Linked DNA regions of Lepisosteus oculatus. The protein of the gene in region 2 interacts with the protein of the main gene of each other region in a biochemical or structural test. Links are inferred from orthologs where the notes say so. Each region holds a gene or a part of one and is shown on either strand. Other genes may lie near its edges.

Region 1 (7,332 bases), on a different chromosome or scaffold from region 2:
GGTCAGTACCTGGATGGGAGACCTCCTGGGAAAAACTAAGGTTGCTGCTGGAAGAGGTGTTAGTGGGGCCAGCAGGGGGCGCTCACCCTGCGCTCCATGTGGGTCCTAATGCCCCAGTTCAGTGACAGGGACAATATACTGTAAACAGGTGCCGTCCTTCGGATGAGACGTAAATCGGAGGTCCTGACTCTCTGTGGTCATTAAAAATCCCAGGGTGTTTCTTGAAAAGAGTAGGGGTGTAACCCCGGCGTCCTGGCCAAATTTCCCATTGGCCCTTACATCATGGCCTCCTAATAATCCCCATCTATGAATTGGCTTCATTACTCTGCTCTCCTCCCCACTAATAGCTGATGTGTGGTGAGTGTTCTGGCGCACTATGGCCAGGTGGATGCTGCACATTGGTGGTGGTGGAGGGGAGTCCCTATTACCTGTAAAGCGCTTTGAGTGGAGTGTCCAGAAAAGCGCTATGTAAGTGTAAGCAATGATTATTATTATTATTATTATGTATTATGACACCTACTACCATGTGGACAGATCTTACATGGGATCACCATTTTGGGCTCCTCTGAGAAGCAGACAAAGTGTGAAACATGCACTATGCTAAAGGGTCAGCCACTCTCCTGAGGCTGGTGGAAAGACAAGTGCAACTGCAATAACCTTATTTCACAATATGAGACCTGGTAGCCTCAAAGGTTGCCCAGAACTCTGGTCTAGGAGTGACCACGGTGATCACAACGCTGTACACAGAGCTGTAATGGGTAATTTTAAACAAAATAAACACAAAGGGACATGCTATGCTGTGTTGTACAGTCATCTCATTATCATCACCTAAGAATCAAAACGAATACAAATAAATAATACTGCTCATATATGGCAAATGTTAATAAAACTTAAGCAATTCCAACACATTTGTTCTCTTATTATGTTTATGCTAATTTTCACATTGAAAGATAATGAAAACATCCAATCATGTACATTAGGGATAATCTGACAGTAAGTAAAACTATATGTAAGCATTGAAAAACAATAGTTCAAACTGTCCAAGATTAACAAAATAGCATAAATGTTCATGATTAACTTAATAGATAACCACTAGGCCTAATTCTCCATTTAATGCTTTGTTAAGTTTCAAACTAATCATGTGTTTTCAATGTTGTATAGAATTTTAATGTAGTATGTTTAAAATCTTCAACAGATGCACAAACTGTTTCCTGTCTGGTTTGACTGATTCCACTTATCATCTTTAAAAAGGTATCTACCTTCTTTCAAAAATGTAGCTGGTGGATTACCAGTTAAACAGGTGGATTTTAAGATTAATCTTCCAATTCTGGGTAATAGATTAAGACAACGCTTTAATAAGGAAGAGGTCTTTTATCACCTTCTTAAAATTAAAATAATAATAATAAACTTTATTTTATATAGCGCCTTTAAAGGTGGCTTCTCAAAGCGCTGTAACGGATCTGTCATATGGAATTCAGGTTTGGCAGGTTGAGGTGTCAATTAACTTCACAGCCAACAGTCCAGAAACTGAAATGGATTGAAATTCTAGATTTATTTGGTATGCGGACGTTTACTACTATTATATTACAATATTCCTATTGGTCAATAGGAAGCCTGTCAACACACGACATTGTGAACTTAGTTCTGAACACTGACACGGAAGCGATCTTGCTCTCGGCGTGGACAGATCCTGCACGTGGGGGTTCCAGTGTTCTAGAAAACCCTCGGAGCTTCCAGCCGCACCAACACCACACTCGCGGTGCGCCCAGACACGCAGGCGGTAGAGCAACAAAGAGGGCAGGAAGTCATTAATTCTCAAATTTCAAAGCCAATGAAACTAAATTCGTCTAAAAACGGGGAAGGCATTGGTGGAACACATAGTAAGATGCTACAATTCGACTGCAGAACGATTTAAGAAGGTGACTGCGCAAATACTTTTTCAGTGCGAAAAGTCCAGGGCAGTGTACTTTCTGCAGTTTGAAAGTTGGTGACATTTACTCGCTTTCCGACGTTTAAGTCTTAATACCTGTAGTTGCTGAGAAAGTAAATTCTGATTTGGTTGCACTGAGAAAAGTTGCAGAACATTTCTAAATATCAACTCAACGTAGAGGCATGGAATATAAGGACATTCTAAATTTTCACTTGCCCTTGCGACCCCCGAGATATTATTTAATAATATTAATGCAGTATTTACGAGTGGTTTTATAGCTCCTCAACGTTGCAAAGTCAGAGTAAAAATCCGTCCCTTTACATACAAACTAGCCACATACCCATTCATTTTTTTTTACCAAGTATTATGGTAATCAATTTGGTATTTAGGAATCGATTATTAAGGTCTGGATAAATACGTAAAAATCACCGGGCCAACTGCAGAGCAAATGAAGATAAAACCATAGAGTTATGCAAAACGTTATGGGAAATCAAAGGCTTACATGTTCACAGAAAACCGAGTTTCTAGCAGCAGGGTGACTAAGCGCATTTATTAAGACGTTATTAAAAACGAGTCAGCTATGTAATAGCTATTAATCACTCTTCCTACTACTACGTGCACTTTATACATTCAGATTATTTACCTTTAAAACTCCTCCATCTTTTTTCGGGGTAATGTCTTCCCCCTCCATCTGGGTCGTTTGCTGTCCTTCGGCGTTTACTTCTTCTGCAGTCATTTCGCCTGACCTGTAACGGCAATTCTAACCGAATCTCAGATCTCAGTAGCTAGAATGGAGATATCGCCAGACCCCCTTTCTCTTTAATCAATTTTAAACACCTGCGATATAAACCTGCCGCTTGTTCCTGTGTCGGAATCGATCCACACAAAAGCAATAGCTTATTGTTACAAAATATAAACTATATATTTAAATCGCAGCCGACTTAAAATCTCTTATCAGAGAGCAATCTCAGTGTTCCGAAAAGTCCGCATCAGAGGCGTCTGCGAACTACGCGCGGTGTGCTTCGTACTGCAGGGCTGCCAGTCGAGCGCCGTCTATCAAGCTCCCCGAAGGAGGACGGGCACAGAACTTTCCAGAGCCGCGCCGGGCTGAACTGTAGCCTGCGCCAGGGGTCGCTTCCAATATCTCCACACGCGAAAAAAACGCAAACCTTCTTGTGCATTAGCAGCTTAGGCAAATTCAGAAACTTTTCTCATGGTTTTAACGTGCTGCGGGGAATATGAATATACATCATGTTTAAATGTTTAAACGGTTAAACGCATGTTTATTTCAGTAGCGAGGATTGTTTCACCGGGCTGACAATTAATGGATGAGTTTTAGGAAAAGAAATGGAAGTAAATCGTGTTCCTGTTCTGAAAATATCATCAAGTTTACAAATTTGCAACGGCTGTTGCACTGAAAGTAAACGAAACATTAATCCAAACAGTTAGTAGGTATGTTTTTAAAGGACTTAATTCATTTACCTGATCTAAAACTTTGTAGACACTCCCTTTTCTCTTAAATGGTTCAGTTTGGAAAAGAAGGAAAACGATATATCGATCTATATTACACATACATTTTTTGTATGTGTAACAACACAGAGCATTATTCATATGAATTGTGAGATGAGAAAACGATTCCAATGAATGCTTTGAATAAATCATTGATATGTTTAATTGTTGGGGGTAATGACTAACACTTTTTTGCCTAACCCGGCTGTAATCTGAGCCCTTCCGTTCATCGCGGGGGTGTCTGTGATTGGCTGATTTTACCCCAGCACTTGGCGCGCTCTTTGCAACAGCGTGAGCCCTCCAGCAAGAACAGCGGCTATCGTACTGCACACTACTCGGTGAATATTTCAACAGATTATTCCTTACGTTTACAAGTAGCTGAGTATATTTATGTCCGTGTATTGCTGTGTGCTGAATTGGTCAATCTTCGCGGTGGATTTTATGCATGTTTATATATTTGATAATTGAGTTTGCTTACCCATAGAAGACAAACGGAAGACAAACAGGGAACTAATCATTTCTCGTTAAATCAATGTTAAACAATGGGTTTAATTTTAGAAGTTGCTTGTTTAAACGTAATATCTTGCCATTGATGTCTGACCTGCAGTCAGTGATTGGACGATCTTGACGTCACACGAGCGGTGATTGGCTGGTCATTGATCCGGTTCAGAATTAGACCGAACTTTAAGGCATCCATTCATTTGATGACTGTTCTCATCTTATTTAGATTATGCTTGCGAGTTTTGTTATAGTTTTCTACGGAGTAATCACTATGGATCTTTAGTTTTTTATAATTATAGCCATGTTTAAAATTTTATGATAACATTGAGGCTGCATTTGTTTAGGAAAACTGGAAGCACAGAGACATTTTTTTTCAAACGTTTCCTGGAAAACTTTGTTGTCTTAGGTTTCACTATACTGTTGCAATGTGGTAGGACTGAATTCTTAGACCATCTATAGAACACATTAAAGTCTATGGTGGTGTGAGTTGGGTTTTGGGCATCGGCTGGTTATCGTGTTCAGTGGAGGATGTTTAACCTTTGACAGAAAATACAAGAAAGCTCTCCAGGAGGAACTTGTTTCTGTGCCGGGGGTAATTATCCAACAGTGCTGATTACTCTGGAAGTGGTGGCCTAGTACACAGTTCCTGTGTAAATCTTGACAGTCATGAGACAAGAACCCCAATAACATTTGTACAATCCTAGACAGACTCCTCTACTTAGTGGACCACCTCGTGGGAGTCTGTGTCATTGTGTGCAGTTCTACTAGAGCAGTATGGGGTACTCTGTACACTTGTACTCAAAATGTGTAAGCCCTTTGCTTCCATGTATGGGGATGAGGACAGAATAAAGTATGATTTATGTGTTTTTTCTGTGCTTCTTTTCTGTGCTACTTCTCTTTCTTAACATAGTCTGCTTCAAGATGGCAGATGGACCTATACAGTTCCCATTTCCATACCAACCATACTCCATCCAGAAGCAGTTCATGGAGGCTTTGTACACTGCATTAGATGAAGGAAAGGTTGGCATTTTTGAGAGCCCTACTGGAACAGTGAGTTAATTGTCTTATTTCCATGGTTTACCCCTGTCCAGCTCAAAGAATAATAACTATATATTGCTGACATGTTCACACAGTCATTATTTGTCTCCAGTAAAGTGAGCCTGATACACAATGTTGTCAGCTCCTGAATTGCTGTTAGGTCCTAATGTTGAGACAGAGTAAGCTTTCCAGTGTGTGAATTCAGAGGTCTCTCATTATGAATCTTTTTTGGGATTTTTTCAAGGACTGTCAATATATGATATATTCTGCATAAAACATAGATTTTGGTTATTCCATTATTCCCTTTATATACATGGGTCATGCTTAATAAATGTCAGCTAAATTAAATATATAATCTTTAATATCACATATTCAACATAAAGACATTTTGCTAAATAGGCTGCCTGTGGACTCTCACTTGGATAATATGGTTTGAAGTATCTAGGTTAAAAAAGGGGTATATACTGTTCCTGAAAGAGGGGAATTCTGCTAATTAAAATGCATTGATGAAGTAAACCCAAGTGGGCTTTTCACAATAAACAGTGAAACCCAAACCAAAGGACACAAGTGGAAATAAAGAGGAAGTGCATTTACTGTATAACTAAGAATGAGCGGCACTATTTCACAAATTCATTATTAGGAGGCCATGATTGGTAAAGGCCAGGAGGAAATTTAGCCAGGACACCGGGGTAACACTCCTACTCTTTCTGAGAAACGCCCTGGGCCCTAGGATTTTTAATGACCACGCAGAGTCAGGACCCTGGTTTTACAATTCGTCCTTTCCCAGGAGGTCTCCCATCCAGTTACTGGCCAGGCTAATCTTCAGCAGATTGCCAGTTGTGAGTTGCACGGTGAGCTGCTAGCTGAATAAGCTACACCCTCAATCTTTTTGAAGCTGAGCAAGCTTCCGACCCACTTGTTCTGTGTTCCAGGGGAAGTCTCTCAGTCTGATCTGTGGTGCCCTCACCTGGTTGAGGGACTACGAGGAGAGAAAGAGGCAGGAGACAGCTCGCCTGCTAGAGTCTGGGGACCTTGCTACAGACAGCTCTGCAGGGAGCCAACAGGCTTCCCAGAGCCAGGAGAGCTCAGACTCTGCAGAGCCCAACTGGATCACAGACTTCGTGCAGAAGAAGGCGGAGAGAGATCTGGTCAGCAAATTAAAGGTATTAATAAAAAAGTTTGAAGAAACAGTTTAAAGGGATTAAGATTGGGAACTCTCTAGGGAATAATGAGATCAGGAACTTTTCAGTAAAAAATATAATCAGTTCCACAAGGCATGTTTGCGTCTGTTAGCAGTGCCAAAATACCAATGGGACTGACTGACTGAAGCATCAAAGCTTCCTTTGACATCTGTTTTCACTTTACATAAGAAACTACATGAGGAGATATCCTGATTTTCTTTTCTCTGTCTAGGAGGATGAGTTGAAGAGGAAGAGAAGGGAAGAACGTTTGGAGTTGATGCGACGTAACGCTAAGCTCAAATACACAATGAAACGCAAGGTATGACTGTCGCTGGGTTTGCCAGCTCCTCAGGAGTGGTCTTTAGACAAAAGACTACGCTTATTGCTCATTTCTCTGTGCCAGTTAATGAAGCATATCTTTAGAAAATATTTTCTGTGTGTTTTGTTTAATAACTAATATAATTGTCATTTTAGCTCAGAGCTGTTTAAGCAAAACCTATTTTGGTGTTGCTTGAGTAAGGGGAGGGTGTGTTACACAGAGGGAGGCACTGAGTTAGTTAACGTGTTGGTCATAGATGGATTAGGAGAACCATTGTCCATTAAAGTCACTTGAATTAAAAATGTGTGTTTTTCTGGGTTTCAGTTAATGCTGGAGGTAAAATATTATTATCCTTGTTTCTTCTTCGTTTTAATGTCTTAAATCATCTTAGCAAAATGTCCTGTTGATAAATATCTACTGTAATTACACTTTATCCAATGTTTTGAGTTAATGATATTGAGCAGCATTGCTGCTGTTAAATGTGAGTAATACAAATTTAATCTTGTTTTTGTATGGCATGTTTGAGTGCAAGTCCTGTTTTGCAACAGTAAAGTGTAGCACGTGTGTAGCCCTTTGTACAGATCTGGAATCAATGTGTAGCCCTTTGGACAGATCTGGAATCAATGTGTAGCCCTTTGTACAGATTTGGAGTCACATTTCCTCTAATGAATGTTAACCTTCATGGGTGTTAGCAAGACAGTGAGGATGAAGAGGCAGTTCGCCTGCTGAAGCTCAGTAAGGAGGCCTTGACTGCGGAGGGTGGTGACGTCCTTGAAGAAGGGGAAGAAGAGGTGATTGTGGCCGTCTATGAGAGCGACGATGATAATGCAGTGCCGAAGAGAAGGTGGGTTGGG
Region 2 (7,645 bases):
ATCCTTCTGCAAGATGACCTGCACCAGCGGGCCCAGCAGGTTCCAGCCCATGCTCCTCACGATCGCCTGCAAGAGGACAGTTCTCTTCAGGGCCACGCCGCATCGGACGCCTTTTTTAATTCCTCAAATCATTAATTCACCAATATTTCTGATGACGTACCCACCCCATCCTAAATTGCCCTTTCTTACGGCTCCTGACCGGAGACCGACCTGCCCCTGTAGACGCTGTGTGTCTCTCGCTGCCCTGCTGCAGGGGGCTTGGCCTTGTTGGCCAGGCTTTTCCTGGTGGACCGCCTGTCACAGTCATCCGGAAACAGGCCCGAACCGGCAGTGTCTGGGCCTTAATGGGTCCCCTGCACTTCAAACTTGCACATTTACCGGTTCAAACATACGACAGCAGGTGTCGGCACCTCGTTCCCGGGCGCCTCAGGGAGGGCCTGGAACGAATCCCTCTCAGCCCTGCTAAGAAATCCAGCGTCTCCCTGCTATTGTTTCCCCTTCACAAGCTGCAAGCCCACCTGCTACAGCAGCGGCACAGGTTTTAATTCTCTCCTCTGATGTGCAAGATGTTTCCAGAAAACCAAAAATCTTGCTCGTTCAATATAAATCAATCCACTGCCATATGTGACGTTTCTCATTTTTATAAGTGACTTACCATTACAGCCTGGTGTTTTAAGAGACCTCTGATTTGTGCTCTGAAGCAATTGGATTTTGAAAATGTGCCTTTTAAAAGCATCTGCTCCTTTGTGAAAGGCAGACAGCCAGTATTAGAACACCAGGCAGTTTAAATACAAGAAAACCGTTTAACACTGGAGCACCCTTGAAGGACACCAGTGGAGCGAGAAATCAGACACTCTCCTGCAGCTCTCCGCTGGCACCTCAGGATCAACAGCAGGGTGTAACAGCCATGGCGCAGGCTGTGGCTCTCACTGCCAGGCACATGGAACAGTTCTTAAACCCTGCAGCAAAGCCTAGGTGCTGCGCTCTTATGCCTTTCTGTTAGAACCCGAAATCTTCAGGGGACACTACAAGTACCGAGCAGCCATGTGCTTTCCTCCCCTTCAAACTACTTTGGTGGGGACATCTTGAAAGCCTTGCTCCCAGTGCTGTCAGAGCTCTGTTTCGGTATTGCTCGGGAGTTGGACGTAACGTGCACCATTCAGCTCGGCATGTGCAGGCGGACCTTGTTTTTCTCATCCTGCACGACCTCCAGCACTTGTGCCGCGCCCCCTCGCTCCAGACAGGCCCGGCCCGCGCTCTGGAACTGCTCGTAGTCTTCCGGCTTGAAGCTGTCGTCAGCCAGCACCTGCTGCAGACAGGGAGCAGGCAGGGAGGGTGTAAAGCTGGAGGAGCACCAAATTAGCAGCACATCGACTTACGCAGACATAGAAGAGTCATCCCAAATCTTGAAATTAAGAGTTTTGAGAGGTTTCCTTTGGTGGAATTATTGAGTGAATCTTATCAATAGCAGGTACTGAAGCAAACGGCTGGGAAAAGTTTTTAAAAAGTTATTTTCAGCAGTGAAAGCTATTACTACAGAACCGCTTCATTGACGGTACTTACACATCTCTGCAACATGTCATATAGCTGCTCTAAGGCCATCTTCAGCGTCTTGAGGTCCAGGTGCCCCCCTCAGTGCCAGCACCTACAGGGTTTAAAAAGAGACATTTGAAACTCGGGTTCGAACCCGTGACCACAGAGCTCAACGCAAACTTTTAAGCCACATTTGGTCAACGCATGCCAGCTGTCCTGAAATGTGGACAGGCGTGTCATTTGAGGGGGATTGGACGTACATGCTGAACAGTCACAGGTGCCTGAAATACCTCCCAACTCGAACCGTGTCTTTGTGTGAACTGAAATTGAAATGTAAACATCAGACATTTGTAATATGATAACCGCCAGTGATCTTGGACACCCTGATGTGGATTTATGTAATTGTGCGTTTATAACAGGGTACAAGCAGCACAGCCCTATATCTGAGGTTCAGCAGCAATCTCTGGGGGGACGTGTCCCCCAACAACTGCACCTGGGAGGTCACAGGGGTCGCGGGGTCACAGAGAGTCGACTAACCCCACCATACCCGTATTCCCACAGCACTGCCCCTAGTGGATCCCAGTCACACGTTTTAAGCCAAATCATGCCAACGCACGTTAGCTGTCTTGACCTCTGAACTGAGGAGAGTTTCCTATCCTATTCCTTCCGATAGTTTGATAAAAGAAGTACAAGACACCACATTTTAATCAGCGCCGTCTTTCTTTTTCCCTGATATTTGTTAAAAGTTTCTTTACTCTTGCGGGCGATTCCCAGGTAATCTGTCTACAGAAAGCAAAGCCGGTACCGACAAGGTCAGCAGAGAGGTCTTAAACCTCTTACTGTGTTGCCTTCTATTGTGTGCGGATTAATAGGATTTACCGAGCACGGAGCAGCACTGCCTGTCCTAAAGATGGACTAATAGCTGTCCCCGGTGTCCCCGGAAACATCTAGAAAAGAGCAATTATTTGCAAACAGTTACAGACAACAAGTCACTGCACACAACTCACAACGACTGAATATTTAGCAAGATCATCAAGTGGAAAAGCATGATGATCGTAGTTCGCGTCTGGAATGCACGTCAAAGTCTGCGAAAGTCTGCCAACCACGTGGCTATGGGCTAAAAACAGCTGAACGATTTATTTGCGCCTAATTATCCTGGACGATAAAAATATCACGAATGCATGTCGCCACATTTTCATGATGCTGCGCGAAAGACCAAAACAAAGAAGCGCTGTCATGGCAGGGCAACTGTATCAAAACGACAGACCTCTGTCTTTCCCGGACACATGCGTGACTGATGATCTAATTTGACTACCAGCTATTATTACCCATCGTGTAGCAGACAGAGAGCAGAGACACGGTGTTGCTCTGTGCAAGGCGCTGTACTTACAGACAGGCAGGAGCGGCGCGTGTATTTAGGAAGTGCGCGCGCCGGCGCTGGCCCTGTCCGCGAGCCGTAGCGCCCTACGTCACGGGTCAAAGGTGAAGCGGAAGAACAACAAGCATGGAAGAGTGTCGGGGAGCAGCCGGCAGGTCAGCGGGACCTGGAAAGAAAGGTTAGTCGGCTTAATGCAGAGTTTTATTCCCCCCTCCCTCCCCTGTGCTGTTCACCTCTGCCACATCAGGCACTGGGAGCTCAGTGATTAAGAGGGACGGGTTGAAATACTGCCCCGCCCAGTACACCCCCTTCTGGAGCACAGAGTGCGCCGTTTCTCTGTCTGAAGCCGAAGGTATAAATAAGGTTTTCGTTTTTCTGTAGACCACTGTCGAAACACCGAAGCAGAGCACATTCCTGGGTGCGTGAATTGTGCTAGAGGTCTTGTTTCTTACACGTGTTACCCCTCGTAGCGACCTTTGAACTGAGCCTTGGAGTTCAACCTTAAAGGCAGCGTTGCAGCTCCTCCGCGAAAGCCCGCGGGCGCACAGCACGCCCTTCACAGCTGATCCGGACGTGACGCGTACAGTGAACGGTCTTCTGTTCCCTGATTATTGACGGGAACACGTGGCCGTGCTCAGCAGGGCGCGTCCGCGGAGGTGTGAGCGCTTGGCCGGTCCGTTAGCAGTGACCCAATGCGTGTGTTTTGCAGGTCGGACAGCGGTCAAGGCGCAGACAGCCTTGGAAGCTGCTAAAAGGTACTGGACTGCGGGGCTTGTGCAGTGTTGGGACATGACAGCAACGTGAAAAACCCGAAAACTTAAACTGAGCAGAAATGGGACCCATTCTGACAGTCAGTACCTCAAGGGGCTCCTACTTCCTTTCCCTCAGTCTTATGTCCATTGTTCTTCCACGGGCTTCGGTTCAGTGTGAAGTTATTTAGTCTATTTCGTTCATTTCCAGATATAACCATTGCTACATGAAAGCCGCACTCGGTGGCTCAGAAATAGAACCATTTCGTTTCAACCGCACCGTGTTTCACACTGTTTCCCACCCTCCATACCTTGCGATGAAGCGGTCGTACCTGAGCCAGCCTGGGCCTCGGTTTACAGCCCCTTCCTTTGACCCCGCGCAGGAAGGAGGCCCTGAAGGAGGCCGTGAGGAGGAAGCTGCAGCTGGAGCAGAGGGCCCTGCGCCTGGTGGAGGAGCTGCTGGAGGACAGCGTGACGGAGGACTTCCTGCTGGGCTGCGTGGGTGTCCTCCCGGGGGGCCGCGTGCTGCCTCGCTCTGCCCTCGGCTCCCCCTGGGGCCCGGGCTCGCAGCGGACAGGTGCCGCGAGGAGCGTGGGGTTGGAGCAGGGGGCCGCCTCCACGTTCCCGCCCCACGCTGCTCTGGGCGCGAGGGGCGGAGGGAGGGGGAGTGGGGAGCGTGATGGCGCTCAGATCCGAGGTGGCGGGAGGCCGATTCCCGAAGCGGACCGGATGAAAAGATGAGAGTCGCTCGCCTGGGGCCGCAGGGCTTCCGCACCCCGTCTGTTGGCCTCTGTTTAGGCTGACCTTCGCTCTCGGAGAGTGCATCACAGAGGGGAGGTCAGGTTTACCAGCTGCGGCCAACGGACCTGCACTACAGCTGTGGCACAGACGCATCTGGAGCAGTGTGTGTAATGTAGTGCAAAATTGCTGCCCGTCTGCCTAATGGGTCACTATTTATCATTCCAGGCAAAGTCCATTACTCCAGGAAACTACAGAGACGTCGTGGACGAGAGATCTATAGTCAAGCTGTGTGGCTACCCTGTCTGTCAGAACAAACTTGTGAACGTAAGACCTCACACTGCTCAGACACATCTATGAGACATTAAACATTGTCTCTTTTGTTTACCAGAAATGTGTTCGTCTTCTAAAATCCCCTTTTGTCAAATCTCTATATATGTATCTTCTTTTTTCATAATGACAGGTTCCCAAGCAGCAGTACAAAATTTCAACCAGAACGAATAAAGTGTATGACATCACAGAACGGAAGGTAAGGTGCTTTATTTTGTTTTGATTTTTTTAATAAAAAATACTCCGGCAGAATGTTTTGGGTGGCTTTTTGTCATAATCTTTGTGGATTTGACAACTCTAGAACACACAGCGGAGTTCTCTCCTGTGTCCTGTGCTTGAAGAGTGCGTGACGCTCTCTTTGTGCTGTCTTGTGCTCCCCTCTTAGTTCGGAGGTGAAAGACTTTGGATTCTCCAGCAAGAAATGGGAGCAACACCTCTTGTCTCCTTTCACTAAAAGCTGCAGAAAGTATCTGAAAATAAAGGATGATTTTTTTTAAATAAATTGCTATGTAAGTGTGACCTGTGTTTTGATACACAGTTGTTTTTTTTCCCCCCATTCAGTGTTTCTGCAGTAACTTTTGTTACAAAGCATCAAAGTATTTCGAAGGCCAGATCCCCAAGACTCCCCTGTGGTCGCGAGAAGAGGAGAGGTAATGGCAGCAGCACGGTGCAAGAAAGACGTGCTTCTTTATTCCACAGATTTGGGTGGGTGTGGAACCAGCTACCCAGCCATGTCGTTGTGCCAACGCCCCAGTTTCTTTCACGAGGCAGATGGACGGGGTCAATCCCTGTCCAACAGGCAAGATGGGCCGAGTGGCCTCTCATTTGTTACCTTTCAACGGTTTTTAAGAAAGTAACCTTGGCCTTCTCTGGGATCAAGTGACTGACAGAAGGCTCCACTGTGTCTTACTTGTATAGATATGCATCAGCTCTTATTGATAGAGCAGCTTTTTGCTGTTTAATAGCATTTTGTCATCGTCATTGTCAACCACACCACTGATATCGTACTTTTGTTTCCGTTGATCTTCTCTTTTTTTGATCGACGGGTTCTATATCTGTGATCAGTTTGACAAACCTCAAGGCTACCCAAAACCATTACATTGAGAGGTGCAGAATTGTGATGTTATAGTGGAGAGGTTTTTGAAAACTAAGACGAATTCAACAGTGTTTCAGTCAAAGGGCCTTCGTCATAAGGCATCATTTTGTTGCCGGAACAGTTGTGGTACTTTGGGATTTCTTCTGATTTAGGTTATCTGATGGTTTTATGCAAAGAGAACGAGTTTTATACTCATTGATACAGCTTGGTGGCTTACTCTCACAATCCAAGTGAGAGGCCTCGCACACAGACCTCAATGCCTCATCCAAGGTTTGAACCTAGAAATCTTGTTTCAGGAAACTGCAGAGGCTGAAGCCTTGCAGTTATGAGCTCGGATCCATAACTGCTCCTGCAGTTTCAGTTCAAAGCTCATCCTTCTCCTGTTGCAAAGCCAGTTTCCCCTCTGCTGGCATATAAGCTGCCTGGTTTCATGGCTGAACGGAAGTAACTTATTTACCCTTTCCGTTTTGTGTTGTAGCTTCCCAGATGTCACATTAATGAAGCAGGGCGAGAGGTATGTATTTAAGAGCTCGCTTTTGTTCCTGTCAGGGGAGAGGAAGTACTGGGGCGGTCAGAAGAAACATTTTGGTTACCTAGTTATTCTGAGGGCTGCAGTATGAATCTGTATGTCGACTATTTTAACCTGTTACTGTGGAGGTCATACTGGAGAGGCCACTTCCCTGTGTAATGTGAAACGGCGTGAAACGCAACTCCAAAAAGAGATTCAGATGAGTGTACTTTTCAAAATGTTGCAAAACACTGCTGCCTGAACCGACTGTCTGATCGAACAAGGAATGCTCCACTTGTTTTAAAGGGGCTCGGTTGTGCGGTTCTACCGAGACTCCGCGCCGAGCTCTAAAATGGAAACGGCGGCCTGGGCGAAAGTGACGCCTCCGGCCGCACGAACCGGTCCCGCTTTTATCAATCACCTCGGTAATACTGTTCAATACCTCTCGGATTGCTCGGCGACGCTGTCGGCACTGCCGGAAATCGCGAGCTTTCAGTGGCGTCCGACTTGGTCGATATTTTTGCGTTTCTTTGCGGCATACTGTCAAGAGTTTAGTTCCTCATAAACATGAGCAGCGTGAACAGATCTCACACAGGGCAGATATTTACGCACATGGCCGCGAAATGGTGCGAAACTCGGAGGGACATGACCCGTTCCCCCAGCCGCCGTCCCCGTTTCGAAGGGAGCTACCAGTCAGTGAGCTGGGGGGGAACAAACAACGAATAAATGAAGAAAAACTGCGTTTGGAGCAGAGGAGAATCGCAGAGTATTGAGTTACTGCGATGCGCCCTGCCGCCGGAACGTGACGAGGTGCCTCAGCTGCTGAGCTGGCCCGGGCGTCCGTGTAACACTATATCGACAGCAAGCACGGGCTTCCTGTGGCGCCCCGCTTGTACACAAAGCCGATTTTGCTTTTTTTGATCGGGGAGCTTTCGGATACGCGTCCAGATTTGCCGGTGAATGGGAGGAGAGGCGTGTTTGAACTGTTGGATTGAGCGGGCGGCGCTCCGCGCTATTGCCCAGCGATGACAGCCCGCGGCGGCCAAACCGCAAGGCAAACACGTCGCTGGCAGCCGGTTACCTCATGCTGTGTGTTTGCTTTCGTGCTTTTCATTGGGGGGTGGTGATTTGTTTTTTTAACAGTTTTCGGAACTTTGAAAATGGGGAAAAAAAACGTCCGGTGACAGAGGAGAGGGAGTGTGTAGGCGGCCGCAGCTCGCAAGCTGCCTTCATCTCCTAATCCCGACAGCTTGTCCGTGACTGGGAATACTGGTCTGCTGCCGTAGCGCACGGCCTGTTCTGAGAAACTTTAG

The links. The genes of interacting proteins can lie anywhere in the genome.
Region 1: the proteins of glmna (region 2) and fkbp4 form a complex in vitro, tested with the Homo sapiens proteins (2 studies listed by BioGRID). The link is inferred for Lepisosteus oculatus from reciprocal best matches to the Homo sapiens genes GLMN and FKBP4.

What each region holds. Positions count from the first base shown.
Region 1 is NC_090702.1:11,471,037-11,478,368, forward strand, and holds the start of fkbp4 (peptidyl-prolyl cis-trans isomerase FKBP4), read right to left. Parts: upstream 3,006-7,332; 5' UTR 2,667-3,005; coding exon 2,574-2,666; intron 1-2,573. Other genes in the region: ATP-dependent DNA helicase DDX11, read left to right, coding at 4,862-4,990, 5,911-6,141, 6,392-6,478, 7,171-7,322. UniProt on the Homo sapiens protein: Immunophilin protein with PPIase and co-chaperone activities. Component of steroid receptors heterocomplexes through interaction with heat-shock protein 90 (HSP90).
Region 2 is NC_090704.1:1,685,422-1,693,066, forward strand, and holds the start of glmna (glomulin, FKBP associated protein a), read right to left. Parts: upstream 3,012-7,645; 5' UTR 2,924-3,011; intron 2,923-2,923; exon of another isoform or gene 2,862-2,922; intron 2,562-2,861; exon of another isoform or gene 2,541-2,561; intron 1,646-2,540; 5' UTR 1,603-1,645; coding exon 1,564-1,602; intron 1,310-1,563; coding exon 1,184-1,309; intron 67-1,183; coding exon 1-66. Other genes in the region: putative RNA polymerase II subunit B1 CTD phosphatase rpap2, read left to right, coding at 3,038-3,089, 3,621-3,666, 4,044-4,158, 4,627-4,725, 4,862-4,927, 5,290-5,378, 6,303-6,338.